Sus scrofa: one gene and its partner. The protein of the gene in region 1 interacts with the protein of each later gene in a biochemical or structural test. Links are inferred from orthologs where the notes say so. Each region holds a gene or a part of one and is shown on either strand. Other genes may lie near its edges.

Evidence for each region.
Region 2: of the proteins of TLK2 (region 1) and ASF1B, one has a biochemical effect on the other in vitro, tested with the Homo sapiens proteins (3 studies listed by BioGRID). The link is inferred for Sus scrofa from reciprocal best matches to the Homo sapiens genes TLK2 and ASF1B.

Annotation. Positions count from the first base shown.
Region 1 is NC_010454.4:16,253,671-16,258,209, forward strand, and holds the start of TLK2 (serine/threonine-protein kinase tousled-like 2), read right to left. Parts: upstream 2,973-4,539; 5' UTR 2,598-2,972; exon of another isoform or gene 2,306-2,597; coding exon of another isoform or gene 1,349-2,305; intron 1,177-1,348; exon of another isoform or gene 1,074-1,176; intron 1-1,073. Other genes in the region: uncharacterized protein LOC110256160, read left to right, coding at 1,349-2,305. UniProt on the Homo sapiens protein: Serine/threonine-protein kinase involved in the process of chromatin assembly and probably also DNA replication, transcription, repair, and chromosome segregation. Phosphorylates the chromatin assembly factors ASF1A and ASF1B.
Region 2 is NC_010444.4:65,061,661-65,066,163, reverse strand, and holds the start of ASF1B (histone chaperone ASF1B), read right to left. Parts: upstream 2,979-4,503; 5' UTR 2,888-2,978; coding exon 2,779-2,887; intron 1-2,778. UniProt on the Homo sapiens protein: Histone chaperone that facilitates histone deposition and histone exchange and removal during nucleosome assembly and disassembly. Cooperates with chromatin assembly factor 1 (CAF-1) to promote replication-dependent chromatin assembly.

The DNA of each region.
Region 1 (4,539 bases):
CAAAATAATACAGCATGAATCAGAAGCTACAAATAACTTCAAATAACGCTTTTATATACCTCCTTCCTCTGAGGAGCCCACAGTTGCTCATGAAAAAGGGAATTAATTATTCCAAATTTAATAGAGATCCCATGGTAAAACCATAACCTGCATTCACTCAGGAAATTAGTGTAGCTTCATAACCATCCCTTTACAAAATGTGCCACTCCCTGGAGCAGTAGGTTTCTCTAGACATCTGCTTTTAGCACTCCTTCCAAGCAGGGAGGGGCAGAAGGACACCATTTTTAAACTCCTTCCATGACCAATTAATGCACAGGCTAACTCTCAGCAAATACCTCCATCGTTTGCAAGAGATCAACTCCTGCGGAACCCATTGGAAACCTTTCTAATGTTAAAAGTGGAAAAGGAGCATATACCATTACATAGAACCCCTCCGAACATATCATTAGCTACTGGAATGACTGGCATGATAGAAAAGTTCCCTGAAAACATGAATTCAACATTCTCCTCTGCAATCTAACAACTCCACAATTTCCAGTAACAACCCCTACAAAGTCCTCCAGTTTCATTTCCCTTCCTGGATTGAGAGCCTGGGGCAAAGGGGAATGAAAAGGGTAGCAAATTAAAGTTTCACCCACACAAACAAGTGCAGATTAGAGAGAGAATAAGGAAATTTTCGGAAGGGTAAAAAGGCATCTTTAAAAAGAAAAACAAAAAGAAAAAGGAAAGAAAAAAAGGAGATTCAAAGTGTTTCCCCTAAGTGGCCTTCCGAGTCTCGCCCTGCCCTAATCGAGGCCGGAATGGCAGAGGTTGAAGCCTCCCTCAAGCCCCAGGGTCTCTCGGCACATTTCCTAAACCTCCATCCCCAGGCCTGGCCCGGAAAATGACGCCCCAGCGGTTATTCCATTTAATGTCAACTCATGTTAAGGAAAGATCCACACTGTCTCATTCCAGCGGGGCCTTGGACTGGAATCCTCCCTGCAGCCCACAGCCGAGAAGCAGGGCCGATGGGGCCTGGTCCCGGCGCCCCTCGCCTCCCGCCGGTTCCAAACTTTCCCCAACTCCAGGCCCACCTGTCACGGAGGGAGGGCGGGCCAGCTCTCGGGGGCGCCCGGGAGGCTGCCGGGGCCTCCAGCTGCCGGGGCGCCCCCCTCTTCCCGCCGGCCGCCGGCCCCACTCCCAGGCCGGGGCCGCTTGGGCCTCCCCCATCTTCGGCCCGGCCCCTCGGCGACCCGCAGCCCTCGGGAAGCCCCTCCCGCCTCCGCGCCGAGAAGCTGCGGCCCGGCGCCGGCCCTCGGGTGGGCCTGGGCCGCAACCTCCTCAGCCGAGGGGGTCGCCCGGACGGTTAATGCCTCAGGCCTGGCGCCCTCCCCCGCCCGGGGCTCAGCCTCTCACCTGCCGCCGCCGCCGCCGCCGCTCCACGCTCCTCCCGGGAGGGGCCCCGACCCGACCCGGCTGCGGACCGCTCTGCACTCCCCCTGGGCAGGCCCGGGGCGGAGCCGGGGCCTCTCCTGAGCGCCGCAACCCCCCGCCCGGGCAGCCGCCGCCGGCGCCGGGCTCCACGAGAGGGCGGGCGGGGGAGGGGGGCCTCGGAGGCCGCAGATCCCCGGGCTCGCGTACAGAGCCAGGCGCCCGACGCGGGCCCGGGCCCGGGAGGCCGCGGGGGGCGCGGGACCGGCCTCCTGGCGCCGGACAAAGGCCAAGGGAGGCGCAGAAGAGCCCAGGCCCGGTCGGGAGGTGGGGGCCCGCTCGACTAGGGGCCACTCGGGTGCGGCGTGGAGGGCGGGGGGGTCGGAACCGCTGGTGCCCAAGACCCGCCTCCGGCCCCTTAATCCGGATCGGTTCGGTCCGGATTAGTAGTGATCGGTGTAAACACACTAGTGAAACCGCGTGTTTCCTCGCGAGATTTGCACGGCTGGGAGGCGGGGGGGTCCTGGGGGGGTGGGGGAAGCGCCGACAGTGGGGGAGGAGGGGGAGGGGAAGAGGAAGGTGGGGGGGGTCCCCGCTGCCCCGGCGCCCCGCCTCCTCCAATCAGCGGCCGGGTTGGCGGGCAGGGGTTAACCAGGGGACCCCGCGCCGGCAGAGGAGGCCGCTGCCTCGCCGGGCGGCTGAGGGCGGGCAGGCAAGCGCTCCAGCCAGAGTGGCTGCGACGCGAGGGGAGTCGGACCGGCCCGGGCCGGAGTCCCAGAGCCCCCGCCGCCGTTTTCGTAAGGTCGGCCCCCGCCCCGCGGAACTGGCCCCAGTCGAGGCGGGTGGGCCGGCACCCTGGGTCGCGGACCGGCGTGGGAGGGCCCTCGCCGCCTGAGCTGGTTGCTTCCCCGACCCGCCTCCCAGAGCCCGGCGTCCGCCTAATCCCTGGTCTCCACGAGTTTGGGTGAGAAGCGGGGTTGCTCTGCCCAGGATGGATTTTAGAGGAAGAAAGCCCATGAGCCAGCAAACCCCGCCCGAACTTCCCCGGAGACGCCCAGTTAGTGAGTTGGCTGTGCCCACCGGTGTTGCCTAGCTCCCACGCCCCGCCGCTCTCCAACCCCACAGTCCTGCTCCCCAAACCCACATATGCCGCCATCGACAGCGGACAGCGTTTCCCCTCCACGTACCTGGTTGGCTGGACGTCTCCAGGGACTAGAGGTGCCCTGGGATCAAGGCTGAGCCCCCACCCCCACCAGGATGCGGCCCTGCGGAAGGGGGGGCGCTGCCCCAAAGGGACTCTCTCCGTACGCCCTGGGGGAGGTTCCATTTCAACCTCTGATTAAAAACAAGGCCCTCCTGGGTACTAAGGGGCTCTAAGGGGAAGTGCTAGGTTGGAGAAAACAGGCCTGCCCCTCACAGTGTCTTCTGAGGAATGGGCAGTGTGAAAGGGCGCAGGAGCTGCGGCAGCCAGAAGGCTTTCTGCACTGGAAAAGGCTCCCACTCTGATCACCCAGCACTAGAGGAAAGAAATCACATTCACCGATTGTATATGAGCCGGGACACTGACTTCAAGGCAAATACCCAACTTTTTATTCTCCTCTGATGCTTCCTTAATCTGAAGATGAGTTAAGGACTACAAGCGAATCACAAGCGGAAAATTCAGATAATGAACAAGAGCCTTGAACTTTTCTGGGGGGTAGGCAAGTACTTCAAGTGAAGTACCTGTTTCTGCCTTTTTTTCTTCCTTATTCTTAATTCTGTCCATTCTGTGTTAATGGAACACAGACCTACTGAAAGGGCAAAGGATGGCAGTTTATTTTTTGTTAGTTGTCCAGCCTTCCAAGCCCTTGGGCAAATTCAAGGACTATGGAAACACCACTCAACCAAGAGTCACCTTGCTTCAAATCCCACGGCCAGGTTGGGCCGTGCACACACATATTTCCAAAGATAACAGTGTTTGCAAGGGAGGGGGAGTGCAAGCTCCAGGCAGAGGGAAGGAGGAGGACAGCCTGGTGGACAACTATCGAGAGCAGGAGAACCAAGAAGTAGAGAGTGCACCTTCCCTTACCCTTGCTTACACAAAAAGAAAAGCAAGTGAGGCAAGTTCTGCCCTATGGTGAGTGATGAAGAAAGTAACTCCTTTGTAAAGTAAAATGACACTGGAATGTTTCAAATGAGGAGAGAAGAGTTTAAGAGAACACTGGACAGAGTCAGAGCAGAGTTCCAGCCCAGCTTCTCCTCAGACAAGCTACTTGGTCCCGTTACCTACACTTTTCAAGCTTCACCAACCTCATCTATGAAGGAGTTTGGACTAGAGGATTTGAAACTCCTTTGTGGGTCTAAAAGGCTATGATTCCACCTCCCACCCCCCATTTTTTGAAATAACTTTAAAAAATAAATCATTGGAATACAGGAAAAGATGAGATTTTAAGTTTCACTTTGTCCAATGCATTCTTCTCTGCATGTCAGAGAACTTACGCTGTCATAGGTCTGACCACAGCCCGACTCCAGACTTAACTCATCCCAATTGGAATTGCTCATAGGAATTTAATGAATTTGCTTACCACAAAAATGGAGTGCTTCTATTTATGAGCATTCTATAAGTGAAAATATCAAAGTGAGGGGAAAAAACAATGGATAATTTCAAAATAAACTGTTACTGTCAGATGGTTCTTTTCACAAAGTGATTTAAACTTGGATTCATGAACCAACTCATTTAAAGTGTGTTTGGTCACGGGGCAACTTTGTGAGACTCAGCTGGTCATGGACTGGCAAATGGTGACATTTACCATGCAAAGGCCCAGTTCCCTTCAGAGAGCTCAAAGGCGGATTCATCTAGAAGATGTGCACGCTGATCATCTGGTCCTCTCTGCCTTCAGGGTAGCGAATGACAAGTCCTCCAGGCTCATGTTTGTAGTCACAGAGCAGACCAGGGAGCCGGCCAGACATGCCTCAGACTAGTTCTGGTGTCCCCAAGCTGTTCTCTGCAGGTCACAGTAGGTCACAGGCTGGAGTTCCCTTCATGGCTCAACGGTTAACGAACCCACATCGAAGTTACAGCTGCCGGCCTACACCACAGCCACAGCAATGCAGGATCCAAGCCACATCTTCGACCTACACCACAGCTCA
Region 2 (4,503 bases), on another chromosome or scaffold:
TGGAGAATCTGTTCCGTGATTTTAAAAACAACTTATTGGAGTTCCCTGATGGTTAAGGATGCAGCATTATCACTGCTGTGGTGCAGGTTCGATCCCTGGCCTGGGAACCTCCACATGCCATGGGTGAAGCCAAAAATTAAAAAACAAAACCAACTTAACCAATAGGGCTTTTTCTGTTTATCATTTTCCCTTTATTTATAATCATACATATGAACCTTGGCTTGTCTATAGCATGTTAAGTGTGGGTCAGAACATCTGGCTCTAAGACTTATTCAAGCAGCATCCGTTGAATTTCTCAATTAAATAGGGGAAAAACACATCTAATGTATTGAATGTGGACTCATGATTTGCAAACATCTATTTCCAGATGCTAAGAAGAAGAGAGAGCAAAAGAGGTTCAGAGCCCTTGAGAAATGGGTCAGACTGGGGGCTGAGTGTTCAAATCTTCAGTTACCAGTATCTGAAGTCACTAGGAAACAAGACTGAGATTTCTCCAGGATCTGAGAGAATTCTAAAGCCAGACCCACTCCATCTGTTTGGGAGGCAGGAAACAAATTCTCTCTGCTCTGTGGGAAGAGGCAGAAAGCAAGTTGGCAGGTCAGAGTCAAGGATAGCCCTAGAGGTACAACAAAAGACTCTACATTTCCAGGTTTTCTAACTGGAATTTCTCTGAGCAAAAGCTTCACTGTCCAGGTATAATTAATAATAGCACCACCTTTCCCTCTTTTGACAGTGTTTTCATGTGGAAATAAAATCTATGGTCAGTCCTATTTACATTCCACAGGAGAGGCCTTTCCCTGGTTACAGAAAGATAAAGAACTTTGGACAAAGAACTCAGAGACAAGACCTAGTGTCAATAATTCTACAAACTGGCTATGTGACCTTGGAGAAATCATTCCATTTCTCTCTATTAAAAGATAATGACCGGGGATCCCAGTGTGGCTCAGTGGTTAATGAAGCTGACTAGTAACCATGAGGTTGCTGGTTTGATCCCTGGCTGAGCTCAGTGGGTTAAGGATCTGGCGTTGCCGTGAGCTGTGGTGTAGGTCGCAGATGAGGCTTGGATCCATCGTTGCTGTGGCTGTGGTGTAGGCCGGCAGCTGTAGCTCCAATTTGACCCATAGCTTAGGAACCTTCATATGCTGTGGGTGCAGTCCTAAAAAAGAAAAAAAAAAAAGAAAGATAATGATCAGCAGGTTGACTTTAGCCTTTCCTGTGCTGATTCTAGTAACAGATTAGTAAAGTAACAGGAGAGGAACTTTGTAGGAGTAAATGTACTAGATAATGACCATGCAACCATGTTTAACCCCGAGGATCACAAACAGACATACTGAAACTCAATCTTCTGCCATCTGGCTCTGTGAATCCCTTAACCTATTAGCTCCTTACATCTCCTCCTAGCTTTAAAATGAAATCTTATTCCACAGGGTGATTCTTCACTTTATTTATTTACACTGTCTTGTTCCAGAAAGGATTTAACTGGGCTTATACTATAGTCACAAGTAGATTCCTTAATTTAGAAAGGAGAGAAACAGGGAAGATTGATCCATTGGCCCAGTCTAAGCACACACACACACATATATCAAAAGGGTTATCAACTCCAGGCTAGACCAAGTGGCTAATTTGCATGCAAAGCACACACCTACCACTGAGAGGTGCTAGTTAGCACACCCTGGCCTCACAGATCTCCACCTCCTTAGCCGCTGCCTCTTAACCACTAAGTGGAGAAGAGGTCTAATGGAGTACTTTCTCCCGAAAGTGGTGCCAAAACTCTCTGAATGACCTTAGATTTTTTTTTGATTTTTATAGAAGTACAAAAAAGGTGTTTTACTCTTTGTGGATCCCATGCTCTCATCTGTGAGATGAGAGTCATGTCCACCTTTGTCACACAGATGAATAAGTACATCTATAAAAGCGCCTTGAAAAAGATGCACAAAAGGTTGTGACCTCTGAGCTGATTGAAGCCAGATACCTTCATGGCTCAGCCTGGCATACCCACCCTCCAGATTAGGTCAGACCATCAAAAGTGGGGGAGAATTGCTACAGTAAGTCAGCAGGAATCTGGCAGGCAAATGGTAAGAACCAACTTATGCTTGTTTGGCCATGCTTCCCCAGGTAGAGCATCAGCAAGCAGGGAGGAGATTATGGGAAGACAGATGGGAAGATGGGGGTGAGTGAGGTCTTGTCACAGGGGGAGAGGGTCTTCATTGGGAAAATGGAACAGGGGGCTGAAGTTGCCATATAGGAAAGGGGCGGGAGCTGGGGTTTCCATAAGGAAAATGGGAGGGTGCTGAGGTTTCCATAGGGAAATTGGGAGGGGGCTTGGATTTCCATAGGAGAAATTCGAGGGGGCTGGAGGTTGGGGTTTCCATAGGAAAAAAGTGAGATGGGAGTGCCTCACCACAGGGGACAGCCTTTTGGTGGGGAGGACTGAATGGCTGGAATGGCGGCTTGCCCCTAAATAGTAGGTAGGTAGGGGCAGTCTCTTGCTACAGGAAAGTCAGGGTGGCTGACGGTCTCTACCTAGAAAACGGGTACCCAAGAGGAGAGCTACAGGAAAAAGAGGGGGATAATGAGGTTTTCACGGGGGAAAACGCGAGTAACCATAGGGGTACGGTGAAGGGGTAGTTTCCCAAAGGGGAGGTTAAGGCTGGGGGTGGGTGTTGGTTTACGGGAAATCAGATTTGGGGGAGAGGGGGTGTTTCACAGGGTTGTCTCCAAGGGGAGGGTCGGGGCGGCCCAGGGGAGGGGGGTCGCTCCACGCAGGCCCAGTCTCACCGTCCGTCAGGGCCTCATTGCACTCGAAGCTGATCTCGAACCGGAAGGGGCTGTGGAAAGGGCTCGGATTCTCCAGAACAGCCACGTTCAGCACCGACACCTTAGCCATTGCCTCGTCGGGCCGAGGCTGAAGCCAGAGCTGGGGCCAAGACTACGTTTGGGTCTTGTCAGGTCAGCAGAACAGCGTTACCCAAAACTGCTCGCGCCTCCTCCGATCGCGGTCTGAAGAGCTAATCTTCTTCGCGCGCCTCCTTCAAATAGCCGGCCCCACCCTCCAGCCAATCACCGTCAACGCTCCCTGGCGGCGCGAGCGCCCCCCCAGCCAATCCTGGAGCGTCGGTAGGCAAGCGCCGAGACTCCCGAGACCAATCGGTGGAGCTCCCTCTTCTGGATGCGGGAGGGAGGCGGGACAGTCTCTTGGCTTCTTTGGGAGTCCGCCGGGAACCAATCCCTAGAGTCTCCGACTCGAATGTCAAGGGCGGGGTGGGCGGGGTCAAAACGCAGGGCTCTTCTTGGCCAATCCCGAGGGTCCCCGCACTAGCGCTGTCCGGACTTAGCCCCGCCCTTCCGGGAGGTGCTTCCAGCCGCGGGCAGCGCCGCCAACCGTCAATTGGTGGCGCGCGGCGCTCGCCAAATCCCCTCTTAAAGTGCGGGAAGGGCGGTGCTTGACCTGCGGTGATTGGCAGGCAGGGGTGGGGCGGGAATAAAGCCGATTCTCTGAGAGTTTATTGGCTGAGTTGACCTTGGGGGGCGGGAGGAAATAAGACTCGGTGGGGGATTCGTAGGAGTGGAGCGGAAGTCGACTGCCGGCGCTGTTGAGCGGGGTGTAAGAAGAGAAAGGAAGAGCGTTTGCGGCTCTGGAGTCTCAGCAGGTGAGCGTTGCCGGAAGTTTCTCTATGGGTCTCCTGGCCCTTCAGGCCCAGCGGCCCGGGAGTCCGTTGTGAACGTTGTGAACGTTTAACCCATCCCTGAAGGGAGACGGTGTGACAGTAACGGGGCTCACGGGGGCCTGGGTCGCGGGAGTCGGGCTTGGTTCGAATCCGGCTTTTTCCCCTTCGAGAGCCTCTGGGGAGGTTTCAGGTAGACACGCTGTAAATGAGAGTTCGAGTCCGGCCTCTTCCACTTACCTCTCGAGGCCACCCTTCCCCGCGCGTTGAACAGGGTCATGAAAATTTACTGGCAGGATTTATGACTGCATAATACATCTAGAAACTTTACTCCCACACTGGGGCTGGAGCGCCGTCGCCCCCTGTCTGGAAGACTGTAGGGACATCCGCACTCACTCCCTGCTTCCACCTGTGACAGCGCACCTAGTTTTACACTTTTCTGAAGTTAACCACGTTTTTTAAAAAAGTTTAAAAAGTTAATTTTAACATACTCTTAAATATATTAAAATTTAGCTGAAACACCTTTTCAGCATATGTTCAGTATTAAAAAATACAACACAGGTAGCTTACATTTTGTTACTCAGCACGAAGCTGTTGAAATCCTTTATTTTACTTAACAACACGTCTGTGATCTGGACGCTACATTTTCACTGAAAATTAGCTTAGATTTCATAAAATTTACAGCTGTATTGTAGACTCATATGCCCACGCTGTTCCCAGCAAGCTTAAAAGTTTCCCATGAGTTAGATCTCATGTCGGTTTTATTTATTTTTTTAATTGTATTTTTTTTTTTTGTCTTTTTTTTTTGCTATTTCTTGGGCCACTCCCGCGGTATATG